3 linked regions of the Arabidopsis thaliana genome follow. The protein of the gene in region 2 interacts with the protein of the main gene of each other region in a biochemical or structural test. Each region holds a gene or a part of one and is shown on either strand. Other genes may lie near its edges.

Region 1 (4,665 bases), about 16 Mb from region 2:
CATTTGTAGATGAATCTACACACGTCTTAACTTGATTCTTAAGTAATGCATACACGTTTTAATTATTAATTATTTTTTTTGTTTTTGTTGGTCGGGTTATGTTATTCGGTATATCAGTTGGATACAGTCCAAAAATATCCTCAAGTGATGAAAGTAGTGTCTGCCTATAGTTTAGCTGGGACACTCCAATGTGCAATCTTCTCAGCGTTCATGGAGCCAGACCTAAGTGCATGGGAACTCAAACTTAACATGGACCTATATCTCATTATTGCCACGGTATATCTATGTGATCATATATTATAATTACTATATAGTATGTATTTCGTAATCTGAGGATGTGTATATATAATCATATATATTGTTCATTTATAGGGAATATTTGGGAGCATAATCAGAACAAGTGTTCAAGTGAAGTGCTCCAAAATGAAGGGGCCTTATTATGTGCCACTCTTCAAGCCATTTGGGATCCTTTGGGCTTCCATTTTTGGCACAAGCTTCTTTGTCAATAGTCTTCACTATGGAAGGTAAATATAATTTTCGAAAGTTATATTTAAACAACGAAGAGACTCAAATTATTCTCTAGTTACATGCGTTCATTTATTTTTAACCCAAATGCTTAATACCAAATCAAATATGCATATATGTTTGATATGACTTTTATTCCTGTTCAAATTTTATTATATACATATCTTAATGTGTTATATAAAAAATTTAAGTTGTCCCTTAGTTTCCTTTTTGATTTTTTCATATTTTAAAATAAGTAAAAAAGTTCAAACCAATTTTTTTTTTTTTAGTTTACATATCAATTTTCGATTTGAATATGATATGTTCAGGTTGTTAAATGTGAACTTCTTGTGAACAGTGTGTTAGGAGCTGCTATAGCAGGAACTGGATATCTATTGATAATGTGGAGTCAAGTTCAAAAAGATGATCCAAATGAAACGGTGGAGAAAAACGATAATCATCAATTGGATTCAGATGAACAGACAACTCCACTTTTGCTCGCGAATGGTGATTTTGATCAAGTTTAATTCAGAAATGGTTGTTCGCCTAATGTGTTTAGTTGTGTTATGTTAAACATAAATTAAGGGTAAGTAAATCGAAGAAATTATATATAAAAAAAAACATATGTGTGTGAAGCAAAACAAATATATATATAAAGTCTTGTAACGTTTTTTTGTATGAGAGGAATGTATCAAAGTCTATCAAAATTAAAAGTAAATTATGAGTTAAAATAAAACGAAAAAAATATAAGTTTTACTTTTTATCCAAATAAAACTCACGATGCAATCATATATGCAACCTCAAATGAGGACTAAATAGTAAATAGTTGTTACTTATATGAAACTACTTGAAGGTCCATCTTTGGCATTCGTCTCACTATAAACGGGAATGATCCGGTTGATCTAATTTAGTAATTTATATCAGTTCCAAGAGAATTTTCACAAACACTGAACCCAACCAAAACTCATTCGATATAATCAAACTACAATAAAAACAGTTCAAATAGAAAAAAAACCATAAATGACCATGAAAACAAATTGTGGTTAATGTTTTTGATATATAGCTACTAAAACAGTCAAAATTGTTTAACATCCAATTAGCTACATCTTTTTGCAGCACCCACCGCATCTGCAAAAAAAATGAATAAAATCCAAAACCGAGGTGAATGCTGAATCAGACACAAACCAGTTGTGGAGAGTTTGGTTGAAGACATGAATTCAAACCCGAAACAGACTAACCAAAAAGCTTTTCTACGAACTTTTCTTAAAAAGACACATTTGTTTAGTCATTAACTTAGAATAACTAACAAAATTATCTCTAAGCATTTGGAGGGTAATTATGCACTCAATTAGTTGCCAAATTATAAGTTGTATTGAAGGAGAAATTAGGTAAGAGGAATTCTTGATTTCGAAGGCGTTGGACTCGAATTACCCTATTTCTCTATCAATCCAACTTAATTTCGATTCTAGAATTCCTAGGGTTTGAAGAGTATGTTGGACGGTTTGTGGGATCTTATCTCTGAAAGCAGTGTTCTTATTGAAAAATTGGGAAAATCAATCGTCTCTCAGGTTTTTACCAATTACATGAGTTGTGAGTTAATTAAGGTTTAACGTATATGACCAGTTGTGTTTATGTTCTGCTTTGTGTTGTCCAATTATTGAGACCTTTTTTTTTTGGGCAAATCCAATTATTGAGACCATGTGTAAATGTTATTACTTTTTAAAGCAAATATGTAGGTAAATAAAAATAATTGACTTAAGCCAAATAATAAAATTGACAAAACCACTTAAGAAGACTGCGTCGATTTATAAAATATTTGTTGGCAATTAATTGAGGAAAAATACAGTTACGCGTTTCATAAAAACTAAATAAAATAGGATGAAGCAAAAAAAGGAAAATATCACTACGAGATCTAATGAAAAGACCTCACAAGATTTCGGACGCGCATATTAGATATGATTTTTTACGCATTTTCACCAAATTATGACCGTTGTGGGATTGAGGAAACCTAATCTTCTAAGTCTCTATATATTAAAGAATCATCATAGCCTTCTCGTTGCACTTCCCATTACGATCGAAAGTTCTCTGCTTTTTATCTCTCTCTCACGATTTAATCAAAGTTTCATCTTCTCTCTCTCTTTCAAAAGATGGCTCCTCGTCAGAAGAAACCTAACAAGTCCGATGATGATGATGGTGATTTGCATAGGAAGAAACAGAGCTTTTTCAAACAGAGATTTCCAGGCTTTAAGAAGAAAGCCTCAGAGCTCTCTGTTCTCTGCGGCAACTCTGTCGGTTTCATCTGTTACGGTCCCGACAACGATCTCCATGTTTGGCCTCAGTCTCAAGATCATAACCCACAAGCCCTACATGAGATCGTGGCCAAGTTCAATGCCTTGAGTGATGAGAGGAGGAAGAATCATGCATGTGATCTCAATGACTTCCCTCATCATCTCAAGGGTTTGTCTCGTGAGGAGTTAAGGAAGCATCTCCTTCACCTTGACTCTCAATTACTTGGAGTCAGGGAACAAAAGATAGAAATTCTTAAGAAGACGCTCACGGGTTCTTCCGAAAAAGATGGTGCAAGGGTTTCAGAGAACTCGGCCATCTCCGATCACAAGTTGAAGATAGAGCCTAATTTGACGGATATATTGTCAGAAGATCATCTAATTAGGGTTTCAGATAAGAAGCTGGGTTCGTGTGATGTATTTGACGAGTTGGCTTACGTGGTCCGCGGGTCAAGGAATTTGAACGAGAATGTTTCCAATTACGAATCAAAAGATGCAGCTTACACGGGAATGGATCATCTTGGCACTTTCGGCGGTAATTATCTTCAGGAGGCGGCGGCAGAACTTTACCAAACTTACAATCTAGGGAATTTTTGTGATGATCATGTTTGGGATCTGGAGTTTGCCTCAAGACTACCACCACTTCATACATTTAGCGATCCTCTCATGACCACCAATACTTGCCAAACGATGAGCTCCGATATGATTTCAATTTGATAACTTGATGACTACGTTAGTGAAATCATGTTTCTTTCACCTTTTCTCGGTGATTGATCATTTTTTAGTATCTCTTAACTTGTATGTTTGCTCCAACACAAATCCATGTTTGTAAAGTTGGTAGTTTTTTTTCTTGTTTATTATTGATTAATCAAACTTTTCCTTTCTTTCTGTTATTCTTTCTCTGTAACCCTATTTTGACTGCAACACCAACTTATCAGATAAACAAAACGTTGTAAACCATGCAAGAAACAAAGAGTTCATAACCTAAATTGCACAACTCGTTAAAGCTTCTAGAGCAGGGAATGAAAGTTATACATACTTGTTCAGATGTTAATTCACTGTCAAGTCTTGGAGATGCCTTGTTTTTAATGACGGATGACACGTTCTTTATGTCAATCTAGTGTTTGCTTCAGCAAGTCTTTCTGTCCCTCGACCTCGTGTTTACCAAGTCAACATTCCTAATCAGCATTCTCATAATTAGAACGAACTTCAGTGGAGTAACTCAACTGATCAACTTGTGACGTAAACACAAAATAAAGTACCCATGAAACTACATATAAGCTTTGTTCACGATCAAATTCATAAGCATATCCATGAATCAAATCCCCAAAACTTCAATTCTACAAGGCTTGCGATGCAATATAATTATTACTCTATATGCTATTTATTTGATTGCCACTGATTTGGCCACTACCACAAGTTTTAAAAAATTTGAGATAAAAATTGGCACATGTTCTCCCTAAAGTAACTGTTAGAACGTGACGACTAGTAGTTACCAATGAAAAGTTGGCAGACGTTCTTGCAAAAATATTAGCTAATGGTGAGTGACTAGCAGCTGCCAATGACAAAGCTAACAGTTTTTTTTTTTTTTTCTAAATTATCTAAAGACAAAACTAACAGTAAGTCCCCAAAAAATAACAGTTAGTTGTGAAACTATATACAGTATACTATCAATTAGCGACTGCTAGTACTGTCGAACCGACGACTAACGTCAGCTAGTTGAAGAACTTGCCGTCTCTTCTGGAACTCCGTTGGTCTATTTTTCAGCCAAAACACAAAAACTAAAAAGTTTTAAGTACTGATGTTCACAGAGCAATGATTTGTCAAATTTTTCAAGTGAAAAGTCCTCCCTTAATAATACTGTTACTTGTAAAGT
Region 2 (7,092 bases):
ACACCACAAAGCGTTTAGAGGTGCCATACGCTTTGTATGTAATAAATATAGTCAGAGAAACAGGGGCAATTTTGAACACAATTTCAAACATTCACCAAACTGCAAGAAGCTTTAACAGTCATGCGATCACAAAAAATACCCCTCTTATGCTAATTTTCACAGAAAGCAAAAGTGAATGAGGGCATGGTACATACTTTGAATAACAAGGCACGATGACGAGCCAATCCAATAGTTAGAGAACCCAGGGGCAGAACCATGCTACGGAGGGTTGCTTTCAAGCTGTAGCTCAGACTCCACCAAGCTCTTAACGTGCTATCTGGATCCAAAACTGGTCCACCCATGTAATCAGCAACTAAAACTGCCAGTTGCCTTACCAATTCACTGTTCACAAACCCTGAAGAAGACGCTGACTTTGATTTTGCTGCAATATCAAGAGCCATTTGTTCAAGTCTCAACAGATTAGAATCTTTGCTGCTGTTCACTAGAACAGCATCCCAAGTTACACCATCTGACACAAGTGTCCCCTGAAGATCAACTAAGGGAGGTATTCTTTTTAAGGAAGATTCATTCATTACTCCACACAGGTCATAGAAACCATCCACAATCTTGTCATCATAGCCAAGACAGTTATAATTCTGCAAAATTCCAGATGATGTAAAATTGGTTAGAAGAGACAGAAAAGAGTTATAAACTTATAATCAACTTAACACATTTTGTTTCAAGCATAGTCTATTGTCGCTTAAGTGAATTGGAAATTTGTTTCTATGTCTAGCAATGAGTTAAAAACTCACCCAATATCTATATGCCATGAGTTCAGCTGGAGTATTCTCGGGAGCAGAAGGACGAGAACCTAAGCTGAACTGCTTCATAGCCTCAATCTGAGCAGCTTCAGGATCCTCCCTAGCACTTAACTCTAGAGCCAACTGTATCTGATATTCTTCTTCAACTTCTGGATCCTTGGAATTACTACTAGAACCCAAACCCTGCATCCCAGATTCCGACCCAACGGGACCACCATGTTCCATGGTAGTGTCATCCTCTTTGCTATTGGTGGCATTGGAAGAAGAAGGGCTTTTCCTGTGAGTAACAGAGCTTAACCAATTTGATAAACCCAAAAAGGGTTTGAATTCAGAGTTATCTTGAGACCTCAATGAATCAGAAGGAGATGGTTCTGCATCACTAGACTTATTGCTTCTGTTAGAGACTGAACCTTCACCATCGTCTCGTTGATTGGGCGTGATACGAAGCTTTTTGAGAAATTTCTTCATGTTCATCTTCATACTCCAAATGTTAGAGCAGCGAACATCGACCCGAAAACTCCTTCATCCCTCGAATACACAGAAAAACGAGAACTTTGTGCTAAAACCCTAATTCCTTGGTACCACGACCCGGAGATCTGGAACTCCGTCCAGATCAACGGCTCGTCAAAATCTAATAACTGCAGCAAAAGAATTCTCGAGAAAACCTTAAATCGGAATCCAAATCAAGTAGCAAGACTCTCAATGGAGATCAGATTTCGATTTCAAGAAAATACTTTTTTTTTTTATCTCCGGAGCTGATCAAAAACCCAATAAGAGAAAGTTTGGAGCTTTTTTCTCAGCAAGTAAGCGAAGCCTCTTCCTTCTCTTTGACTCTCTCCTGAATTGAGAAAGTCCACAAAGACGCCACTTTCTCTCTCTTAAAGTCCGACAAAAGAAAATCAACTAAAAAAAACTTACGTAAAACAGAGTAGAGTAGATAGATAGATACGAGTATAGTAGAGGATGAAGAGTGGATTTTTGAGCTGGAGAGAATTGAATTTTGTTTTGCTTTTTTTTGCTACTGTAATTAAAAAATTACTCTATTTTTTGTACAATCAGTCAAAGCTTAATGCAAATATAGAGCTATTTAAAAACTTACCAATTCATTTTTAATGCAAATATATCATGCAAAACCGTACATTTTGTTAAAAAAAATAAGAAATGATAAATCGCAGAATTGTTTACGATCGTGCTTTCCATATTCAATATTCCTTCGCGTATCTGGATTTGTTTGATATCATTTATTCAAATAAAATTTTGTCTTTTTGGCTGAAAAAATGCTTCGCTCACCACCTTATGCATTATCCTCCCATGACATATCACATATATCATCAAGCGTATTATTCACTAAAAAATGCTTAGATTACGCTACTGTCGGATTCATTTATGACCCAATAACTATGATGTGCTCGAACCGCAACAGACTCCTGGACCTGCTCAGCTCATGATGAAATATATGTTCATATCATCAACGCGACCGAACGAGCAAGGCGTTTTTACTCTCTCTTTTTTTGTGTCTCAGATTCATAATTAGACTTTTAATTCCGGTTTGTAATGTAACATCTAACATCTTCTTAATTTCGAACCTTGTCCGGTTGAGTTTAATCCGTTTAGTGATTGAACGAAAATACATTTATTGTATGGGCCGCTTTGTAGGCCCATATACTCAATAAATGCATATGCCCGAATCAGGTTATCATTAACCGGTATAGACAAACCGGGTCGTCGAAATATTCCAAAGGTTTAAATATTTTGTTCTTCTCCCTCCACTCACTCTCTCTAATAATCAAGCAGGGGAAAAAAATAAATATCTGAGCATAAATAATGAAAAAAACATAAAAAGAAAATTAAAAAAAAAATGAAAAAATAGGAGAAGAACATGGTCTCCAACTCCGAAGGACAAAACCGAGAGACGCGGCGAGAAAGACGGTGACTTGACGGTAATTGTTTGGCTCTCAAGGAATTTCGGATACCCAATTTTGTAAATTACTAATCTTTTTCTTTTCTAATCTAGTAGTGGTCTATGGGTGGTGGTGGGAATCTCGTCGACGGTGTTCGTCGATGGCTTTTTCAGCGACCTTCTTCTTCTTCTTCTTCTTCTTCTTCCAACAATAATAATAATAATCACGAACAACCCATTTTCAATTCTTCTTCTTTCTCTTCTTCCTCTAACCCCAATCATTCCGCTAACTCTGGAGAGCTTATTATTGAAGAAGATCTCGATTTCTCTGGTCTAACGCTTATTAACGTTCCTAAACGTAATCATTTACCTATGGATCCTCACAAGAAGGTACCTTTCTTCTTCTCCTTCTCTACCCTTTTATGCTATTTGCTCTTAGATGTTGTCTTTTGATTGAGATTGAAGAGACTTGTTTTGTTCTCTTAATGTTCTGTGTTATTGCATTTGCTTCCACAAAAGGATAAAGTTTCAGTTTTGTGTTTCGTTTGATTGATCTTATTGTCTTGATCCATCATTTTGGTCAATTTTAAGTATGAATCATGAATAAAATTCTTCAGGGTGAAACTGAATTCTTCACGGAGTATGGAGAAGCTAACAGGTATCAGATTCAAGAGGTTGTTGGCAAAGGAAGTTATGGTGTTGTGGCTTCTGCTGTTGACTCACACACTGGAGAGAGAGTTGCGATCAAGAAGATCAACGATGTGTTTGAGCATGTCTCCGATGCTACTAGGATTCTCAGAGAGATCAAATTGCTTCGGTTGCTTCGTCATCCTGATGTTGTGGAGATTAAACACATCATGTTACCTCCTTCTCGCAGAGAATTCCGCGATATTTATGTTGTCTTTGAGTTGATGGAATCTGATCTTCATCAAGTGATCAAGGCGAATGATGATTTGACTCCTGAGCATTATCAGTTTTTCTTGTACCAGCTTCTTCGTGGTCTGAAATATGTTCACGCAGGTTAGTTTCTGGTTTTACACATTGGTCTCTTTCGATCCTCATGATTTTTGTTATAGATAATATTGAAACACTTAAGGGTTCTCTGTTTTCAGCTAATGTGTTTCATCGGGATTTGAAACCGAAGAACATTCTAGCTAATGCTGATTGCAAATTGAAGATCTGTGATTTTGGGCTGGCTCGCGTTTCTTTTAACGATGCCCCAACCGCTATATTTTGGACTGTGAGTCATCTAACTCAATGTGAAAGCAAAACTGTTCATTAGGCTTCCTCTTAACTATTTTCAAATGCTTGTGAGCTCATTTCGTTTATATGGATTTTGTAGGATTATGTAGCTACTCGGTGGTATCGTGCCCCTGAACTCTGTGGATCGTTTTTCTCCAAAGTAAGATTCTTTTTCACCAAACCCAACTACTCTTGCTATTTCTCCCTACCAGGAAAATGCTTCTAGTTTTCTATTTTGTAGAATATTGTTGTGTGGTTCTATAGTGTTGTTGAGAAGACCAGCCATCTCAAGCTAAGTCTACTCTTGTTATATTTCAGTATACCCCTGCGATTGATATCTGGAGTGTCGGTTGCATTTTTGCGGAAATGCTTTTGGGTAAGCCTTTGTTTCCCGGGAAAAACGTTGTGCACCAATTGGATCTAATGACTGACTTTCTTGGTACTCCACCTCCTGAGTCAATATCAAGGGTTAGTCACTCAAAACACTTGTTCATATTTTCTGTAGCAAATTTAATGTTCCATACATCATTGAGAGTAATTTAATCCTTGTAATGAGCTTTGCAATCTTGGACTTCTACAGATTAGAAATGAAAAGGCGAGGAGATATCTTAGCAGCATGAGGAAAAAACAACCAGTCCCTTTCTCTCATAAATTCCCTAAAGCTGATCCTTTGGCTCTCCGCCTTCTGGAACGCCTGCTTGCCTTTGATCCGAAAGATCGTGCATCAGCTGAAGATGTAAGTGAGAAGTAAATTTGCTTTACTTTTCCCTTTTGTTTTATACAGAACGAAACTCTTATATTCGTCGTTTTTGATTTTCATATTACAGGCACTAGCTGATCCATATTTCAGTGGTTTGTCAAATTCAGAGCGTGAACCAACAACACAGCCAATTTCAAAGCTTGAATTTGACTTTGAGAGAAAGAAGTTAGTTAAAGATGATGTCAGAGAATTAATTTACCGAGAGGTAACAAACAAACACAAAAGCCTTCTACATATATCCTTTTCTTTAATCTGAATTTGTTTCAATGTTATTCATTGATCCTAACAATCACTTTTCTTTGGATTTTGTAAATATCAGATATTGGAATATCATCCTCAGATGTTGGAGGAATACCTTCGTGGTGGTGATCAGCTTAGCTTTATGTACCCAAGGTTAGCTAATTAACAGTTAACAGAAACTATAAGTCTTGAAAACAGAAAGTTATGAACTCGATAAATCTTTTTGTTGTTTACGCGCAGTGGGGTAGACCGATTTAAAAGGCAATTTGCTCATCTTGAAGAAAATCAAGGTAAACCAGGAGCAGCAGGAGGAGGAAGAAGTACTGCACTTCACAGACATCATGCTTCCTTGCCAAGGTAATGTCTTTCACAGAATCTCTCTATCTCTTCTCTTCTCTTCTCAATCTCCCTCTGAGAGCATTGTGCTTCTCTATGATGATGTTGCAGAGAGAGAGTTCCTGCTCCAAATGGTGAAACTGCAGAAGAAAGCAGTGATGTTGAGAGAAGAGCAGCAGCTGCTGTGGCTTCAACCTTGGAATCCGAGGAAGCAGACAATGGAGGAGGTTACAGTGCTCGTAACCTCATGAAGAGTGCAAGCATCAGCGGTTCTAAATGCATTGGTGTCCAATCTAAAACTGACAAAGAGGTTAGTTAGTAAAGAAAGAAAGAAAGAAAAACAGAAGATCTTGAAAAGGAACATGACGATGAAGTTTGCTTACTGTTGTTCTTTTCTCTTTGTTTGCAGGATACCATAGCTGAGGAAGAAGATAATGAAACAGTTGCAGAGCTTACTGATAAAGTTGCTTCTCTTCACAATTCTTAAAAATGATTTAGTTATTTTTTTTCTTTTCTTTTCTTTTTTCACGAAAGTTTTCTGGTGAAAAGAAATTGGTTTCTCCATTCATCCACATCTATCTTCGTGGTTGGGTTTGATTTGTTGTATTTAATAGTTTTGGGGGTTTGATGAAACTTTAAATAAAAACATCGATCTCCATGTAATTTTTTTGTTTCTCTCTTTTCTTTAAACACTCATATTTTGAAATTATTTATATACTATTCAGTATTCACTTTGCTTCAGTACTTTGGGAGAGTTTGTGTGATTGGTATGATCCGGTCCAGGTCAAACCGGGATATTGGGTCTTATATAATAAATTATATTAACCTGAAGAACATACTCGACTTCTTAAAAGTAAAAAAGATAAGACTAAAAAATTAGCACACATAATAATAATGCTGTGTTAGTTGGCTTTTTAATGACGAAGACTAACCTAATATCTATTATTTATATTCCATGGTCCATCTGAATTGATACCATTCTTGGACTAATCTCATAACGACAAAATAAAATAAATAAAACGACAAAAAGAAGAAGAAAAAAAATGAACAAAATCGGGTTTTTGAAAAAGAGGTCAGAAATAATGGTATGGTCGAGTAAAGTGAGCTCCAGGGAGCTTACTCACCAACTCCAAACTACAGTCTCGATAAGAAAAAGAAACTGCAAAAAGTTGATGTATATATGGCGAACAAAGTCCACAGACGCCAGATTGGTTAAAGCAATTAGGCTACACTGTTTTTACATTATTTAGTAGAAATACTAATTGAATTTGTGCATGTTTAAAAGTGAAAAAAAACTAACATTATACTAATGGATCATGCCGCCAAACTTTGGAATTTGACTTCAAATTATGACCACTACAAATATAAATTAAAGAAAAAGTTGGTTTCATGTAAACTATAGGATCGTAAAGGAAGATTGTCACAAAACTCTTGACTAATAAAATTGGAAGTTAAAATGTCCGAAGAAAAGTTATATTACAAGTCTTTTCTAATCGCCAGTGAAAAGAAAATCGGTTCAAACTACATATTTTTTGTTCTCATAAAACGGTTTGTGGTCTTAAACATGCTGAAGATTCACATCCATTTATAGTTTTATTTTCGACTCCTCTATATCATTGGAGCTCACACATTTTCTTTTTGTTTTCATAGGAATCATTTTGCATTTTAAATCCATGTTAAATTTTTGCAAAGCATCAGTTTATGAGTTGTGTTCTATTTACGAATGAAAAAGGAGACTTGCATTTGTAGTATGTAATTCATATATTTTTTATCAGGTTTAAAACAGTTTGCAATTTCGTCCTATTATTTGTTCT
Region 3 (5,225 bases), on a different chromosome or scaffold from region 2:
TGAGTTTTCTTTTATATTTATTTATCAATTGTTTCTTGTTTGGCAAGACAATGTTTTTTAGTTGGTTAATGAATCTGGTTTCATACAAGTTCTATTGAAATAGATTTTTATGCATAATGGACTAGAACGTAATTTTACTTGGATATTTTCTAATTATTACGTTCCGTAAATATGATTTATCATATGACTTTCTTTTTCTTCATTTTGGTGCGTTTTAATAACTTCGTAACATTGACATACAATTGTTTTTCACGTAATGGTCATTCGAGACGTTAAAAATACCAAAAAAAAAAAACATGAGACTCGATATGGCTATATGCAAGGGATGAGATCTAAAGTGTTGACTTAAATTACTAACATATTAGGATGTAGTTGGTGTACTAGATGACGAAAGAATATATAGAATAAAGAATTATTTGTTACAATTAAGTTAGCCAAGTTTCCAAAAACATAAATAACATAACTACATACCTTATATCACTATATCATATATTGTTGTTGTATATACCTCAACTTAAGAAAAAGTGCAAAATTCAGAGTCAAACTAACGAGTGTTAGTCAACTCCGTAAAGATGCTGAGTCAGCAGACACGTGGAATCTGATGTGTCTAAAACGACATCGTTTTGAGTTATGAACGTTTAAAATGTTAAATTTGTTAGGTATTTTAATACCTAAACCACATATTTATTTGAATTTCCTACCTCAACTTAAGAAAAAGTGCAAAATTCATAGTCAAACTAACGGGTGTTAGTCAACTCCGTGAAAAATGTTGAGTCAACAGACACGTGAATTATGATGTGTCTAAAACGACGTTGTTTTGCGTTATGAACGTTTTAAATGTTAAAAAATTTGCAACATGCAGGATTCGAACCCACGTCTTTAAAGACATTTAACAGAATATCTAACCATTTCATCCAGATTATATATTTGTTAATATCTAACATTATCGATATTCTATCGCAACATGGAATCATTAATATCTAACAATTTCGAACATTTTCAATGTTCATAACGCAAAACAATGTCAAAGTAAATTCAAACTACACGAAGTAAATGTATTGTATGACCACATATACAAAGTATAGGACGTCATGTGGTTAACACCATAGACATACAATTCCGATAAACCGGTCAGTTGACTCCGGCGTTGACTAGGGTTGACCGGCGTTGACCAACAAAAAAATTCAAAAAAATCTTTTAAATTATTTTAAATATTCAAAAATACAAAATATTTTTTTTTTGGTTTTGTATATTCAAAAACATATTCTATATTTCAATGCATTAAATCTTAGAAAAATTAGTTTTACAAAAAAAATCAAAATTTAACTAAAAATAGATTAAAAATCATTATTAAATTTTAAATTTTAAATGAAAACAGGAAAATATTATTATAGTTAATTAAGTAAGGAAATTGCTTATTTTTATAGTGTCAATTAAAACACTTCAATTATTTCTATACAATATTTTTTATAAAAAAAAATCAACCACAAAAATTATTAGAATAAAACGTAATACAAATGAATTTTATTTTAAAAACTTTTTTGCTGAAATCAACATTGTTAGATTTTCTATCTTTTTATATATTAAAAAGAAAAATTGCAAGTTTTTGGTTGTTTATGTGTTACTACGAGAACTTTTCTTAATAATATTTGTTACAAAAGGAACTACATAGTATACAAAAATAAATTTAGACTAAAGAGTATATAAAAAATATTATAATTTTCTTTACCATGCAAACTTTAGATTAAAGAGTCATATACTCAATTTCATATTGCTTCCTAATACAATTGAGTATATGACTCTTTAATCTAAAGTTTAATAATGATTTTTATTCTAGTTTTAGTTTAGTTTTGAAATTAAAAATAAAACTAATTATTATAAGATTTAATGCATTGAAAATACAAATATATTTTTACGAAATATAGAATATGTTTTTGAATATATAAAAGAAAAAAAATATTTTCGTATTTTTGAGTATTAAAAATAATTTTAAATTTTTTTGTTGGTCAACGCCGGTCAACACTAGTCAAAGCCTGAGTCAACTGACCGGTTTACCGGAATTGTATGTCAATGGTGTTAACCACATGACGTCCTATACTTCATATATGTGGTCATGTAATACATCTACTTCGTGTCTACTTCGTGTAGCTGGATATACAATGTATAGTAGGTATGTGTGACCATGTATTCTCTTATACTTTGTTTACCTAGCAATCTTTTTTTTAAATTAAAATAAATATGCGGTTTAGATATGAAACTACCCAACAAATTTAACATTTTAAACGTTCATAACGTAAAACGACGTCGTTATAGACACATATTTTCCATGTGTCTGCTGACTTATCATCTTCACGGAGTTGACTAACACCCGTTACTTTGACTCTGAATTTTGTACTTTTTCTTAAGTTGAGGTATGAAATTCAAATAAATATGCGGTTAATATATGAAAATACCCAACAAATTTTTTTGGATACGAAAATACACTCAGAAAATAGTACGGGTATGAAAATACCCTTTTCCCGTATTTGATACATGTCTAATTCGGTTCAAATAAACCGAATATGAAAATTTTCAGTTTTATTTCGGAAGTTAAATAAATCTAGATAACCGACCTGAAAAACCCGAGTCCCGACCGAACCGAACCGAAATTAAATTCGGTTTAATTCGGAAGCATTTCCAAAAACCGAAATTCCCTAAAACCGAATAACCCGACCCGATTAAACCGATTTGCCGAACTCCCAGGCCTAAATTCACACTTGGCTTAGAAAAACTCTTTGTAGATGTTAAAATTCGGTAAAATTAACCTCACCAAAGCTAATTATTACCAGGTGAAGAAAGCATTAAAATTTCAAAGTGTGTATGACAGAGGTTTTAGAAAGCGACTGATGTACGGACATATCAACAACTCCCCTATAAAGATACTCAGCTAAACACAAAAACAGAATCTATTCTCAACACAACACTAAAGACAATTGTACCAACCACACAACCACAAGAGAGAGAAAAGTGAGAATGGGAAAGAGAGCAACTACTAGTGTGAGGAGAGAAGAGTTAAACAGAGGAGCTTGGACTGATCATGAAGACAAGATCCTTAGAGATTACATCACCACTCACGGCGAAGGCAAATGGAGCACTCTCCCTAACCAAGCTGGTACTAATCTCTCTATCTACCGATCCGTCTTTATATCTTCTACGTACAATAATTGTCTTGGCACACATAAAAGGTCTCAAGAGGTGTGGCAAAAGCTGTAGACTTCGGTGGAAGAACTACCTAAGACCGGGGATAAAGCGCGGTAACATCTCATCTGATGAAGAAGAACTCATAATCCGTCTCCATAATCTTCTTGGAAACAGGTTTTTCACTAACCACATAGAATTTTCTTTTTGTAGTAAAGTTATTTGTTATGTGACATTATAATTAAAGCAGATGGTCGTTGATAGCTGGGAGGCTTCCAGGCCGAACAGACAATGAAATAAAGAATCATTGGAACTCAAACCTCCGCAAAAGACTTCCCAAAACTCAAACCAAGCAACCAAAACGTATAAAACATTCGACGAACAACGAGAATAATGTATGTGTTATACGTACAAAGGCGATTAGGTGCTCAAAGACTCTTCTCTTCTCGGATCTCTCTCTTCAGAAGAAGAGTAGTACTAGTCCACTACCTCTGAAAGAACAAGAGATGGATCAAGGTGGATCTTCGTTGATGGGAGATCTCGAATTCGATTTCGATAGGATCCATTCGGAGTTTCACTTCCCGGATTTGATGGATTTTGATGGTTTGGACTGTGGAAACGTTACATCTCTTGTTTCATCTAACGAGATTTTGGGAGAGTTGGTTCCTGCTCAAGGTAATCTCGATCTCAATAGACCTTTCACTTCTTGTCATCATCGTGGCGACGATGAAGATTGGCTCCGAGACTTCACTTGTTGAGCCTATATTGCAAAAACCTACGTTAATACATATTTCTCTATACGGACAAAAGTATATCTGTATTTGTCTGAACGCTTCTAATTACTAACTTACTAAGGAGACCAAGAAATACAAATAATTATACGATCCACATGTTATAGAAATGGGTTTTGTCTTTAACTAATAATTTTTTATTATTGCAAATACGTACGACATAAATATTTTTGATAGATTTTGTAAATTTATGTATGAGCAAATGATAGAGCTTTTATTATAACCTAACCACCGCTTAACCACCCAACCTATAAATTCTACTTGTGAATTATTGGTAATACGAATCAACTTTACAATTTTGTTATTACGAAATATTACTAGAATATACATGTATAGTCTATTTATAGGCAGGCATAGTCATTAATGTAAGGAATTTGTTCTTCTCATTTTTGGAATCATCGTATAAATAAATACTAGATGCATGGTTGTTCTAAGTCATGTGCCAGTACATATTTGAAAAACAAAACAAAGGAATATTCCGGATTTTCCCCCTATCTCCTGTATTTTATGGGTACAATTTAGAAGTTTATGTATTTTAAGGATACTAAAAAATCATGTATTTTATTGGACATCAAAAAGTGTTTGTATTTTAAAGGAAACTAGATTCTGACCCGCACATACGTGCGGGGTTTCATATTTTAAGAAATGTATTAGAATACATTTTTAGTGAAAGATATTGTAGTGTATAAATTATAATGTGCATAGAAAAGTGTATAGTGTTATTTATGATATAATAACTAAATTTTTTTTATTAATTTATATTATTTATATTTCATTTGTGTTTTGCATAGTAAATCGAATGTTAGATTTGTTTTGATTTGCGGAATAATATAGAGATATTTGGAAAATCTGTGTATTTTTGTTAGTTTGATGTATATACAAATGAATTGTTTTTGTTTGAAATTTGATCAATTAGATGATATAATGTAAACTTTACTCCGCTGTACACCGTTGTTCGATTTTTTTGTAACTAAAAATTTGAATTTTAGGTTATAGTTGTTTTGTAAATATTGTTTCTTTTGTTTAGTGTTTAAGATTGTATAATTGTGTTAAAATTGTTAATTCTAAGATTACACTCGTAGATTATCGTCCCGTATGAGTATCAACCCAAACTCGTTCCACCAGATAACTTCATTCCGTAAAATTAAATATTATTTTGTTATTTTTAAATATTCTTATTGTAATATATTAAAAATCAAGAGATTGACCTGTGGTAGATCTTGGATTAATATATTTAAAAATAATTTGCGATTTATA

Evidence for each region.
Region 1: of the proteins of ATMPK8 (region 2) and AGL49, one has a biochemical effect on the other in vitro, tested with the Arabidopsis thaliana proteins (one large-scale study listed by BioGRID).
Region 3: of the proteins of ATMPK8 (region 2) and TT2, one has a biochemical effect on the other in vitro, tested with the Arabidopsis thaliana proteins (one large-scale study listed by BioGRID).

What each region holds. Positions count from the first base shown.
Region 1 is NC_003070.9:22,117,916-22,122,580, reverse strand, and holds AGL49 (AGAMOUS-like 49), read left to right. Parts: upstream 1-2,651; coding exon 2,652-3,506; 3' UTR 3,507-3,607; downstream 3,608-4,665. Other genes in the region: UMAMIT35 (Nodulin MtN21 /EamA-like transporter family protein), read left to right, coding at 118-276, 373-524, 863-1,031. UniProt on the Arabidopsis thaliana protein: Probable transcription factor that may function in the maintenance of the proper function of the central cell in pollen tube attraction.
Region 2 is NC_003070.9:6,243,314-6,250,405, reverse strand, and holds ATMPK8 (Protein kinase superfamily protein), read left to right. Parts: upstream 1-2,593; 5' UTR 2,594-2,740; exon of another isoform or gene 2,741-2,814; 5' UTR 2,815-2,823; coding exon 2,824-3,090; intron 3,091-3,317; coding exon 3,318-3,720; intron 3,721-3,812; coding exon 3,813-3,940; intron 3,941-4,042; coding exon 4,043-4,102; intron 4,103-4,260; coding exon 4,261-4,410; intron 4,411-4,522; coding exon 4,523-4,678; intron 4,679-4,769; coding exon 4,770-4,907; intron 4,908-5,021; coding exon 5,022-5,095; intron 5,096-5,182; coding exon 5,183-5,299; intron 5,300-5,389; coding exon 5,390-5,588; intron 5,589-5,687; coding exon 5,688-5,765; 3' UTR 5,766-6,108; downstream 6,109-7,092. Other genes in the region: AT1G18160 (Protein kinase superfamily protein), read right to left, coding at 195-635, 792-1,280. UniProt on the Arabidopsis thaliana protein: MKK3-MPK8 and CAMs-MPK8 modules negatively regulates ROS accumulation through controlling expression of the RBOHD gene during wounding.
Region 3 is NC_003076.8:13,723,795-13,729,019, forward strand, and holds TT2 (Duplicated homeodomain-like superfamily protein), read left to right. Parts: upstream 1-2,948; 5' UTR 2,949-3,012; coding exon of another isoform or gene 3,013-3,076; coding exon 3,077-3,354; intron 3,355-3,427; coding exon 3,428-3,935; 3' UTR 3,936-4,167; downstream 4,168-5,225. UniProt on the Arabidopsis thaliana protein: Transcription activator, when associated with BHLH2/EGL3/MYC146, BHLH12/MYC1, or BHLH42/TT8. Involved in the control of flavonoid late metabolism in developing siliques.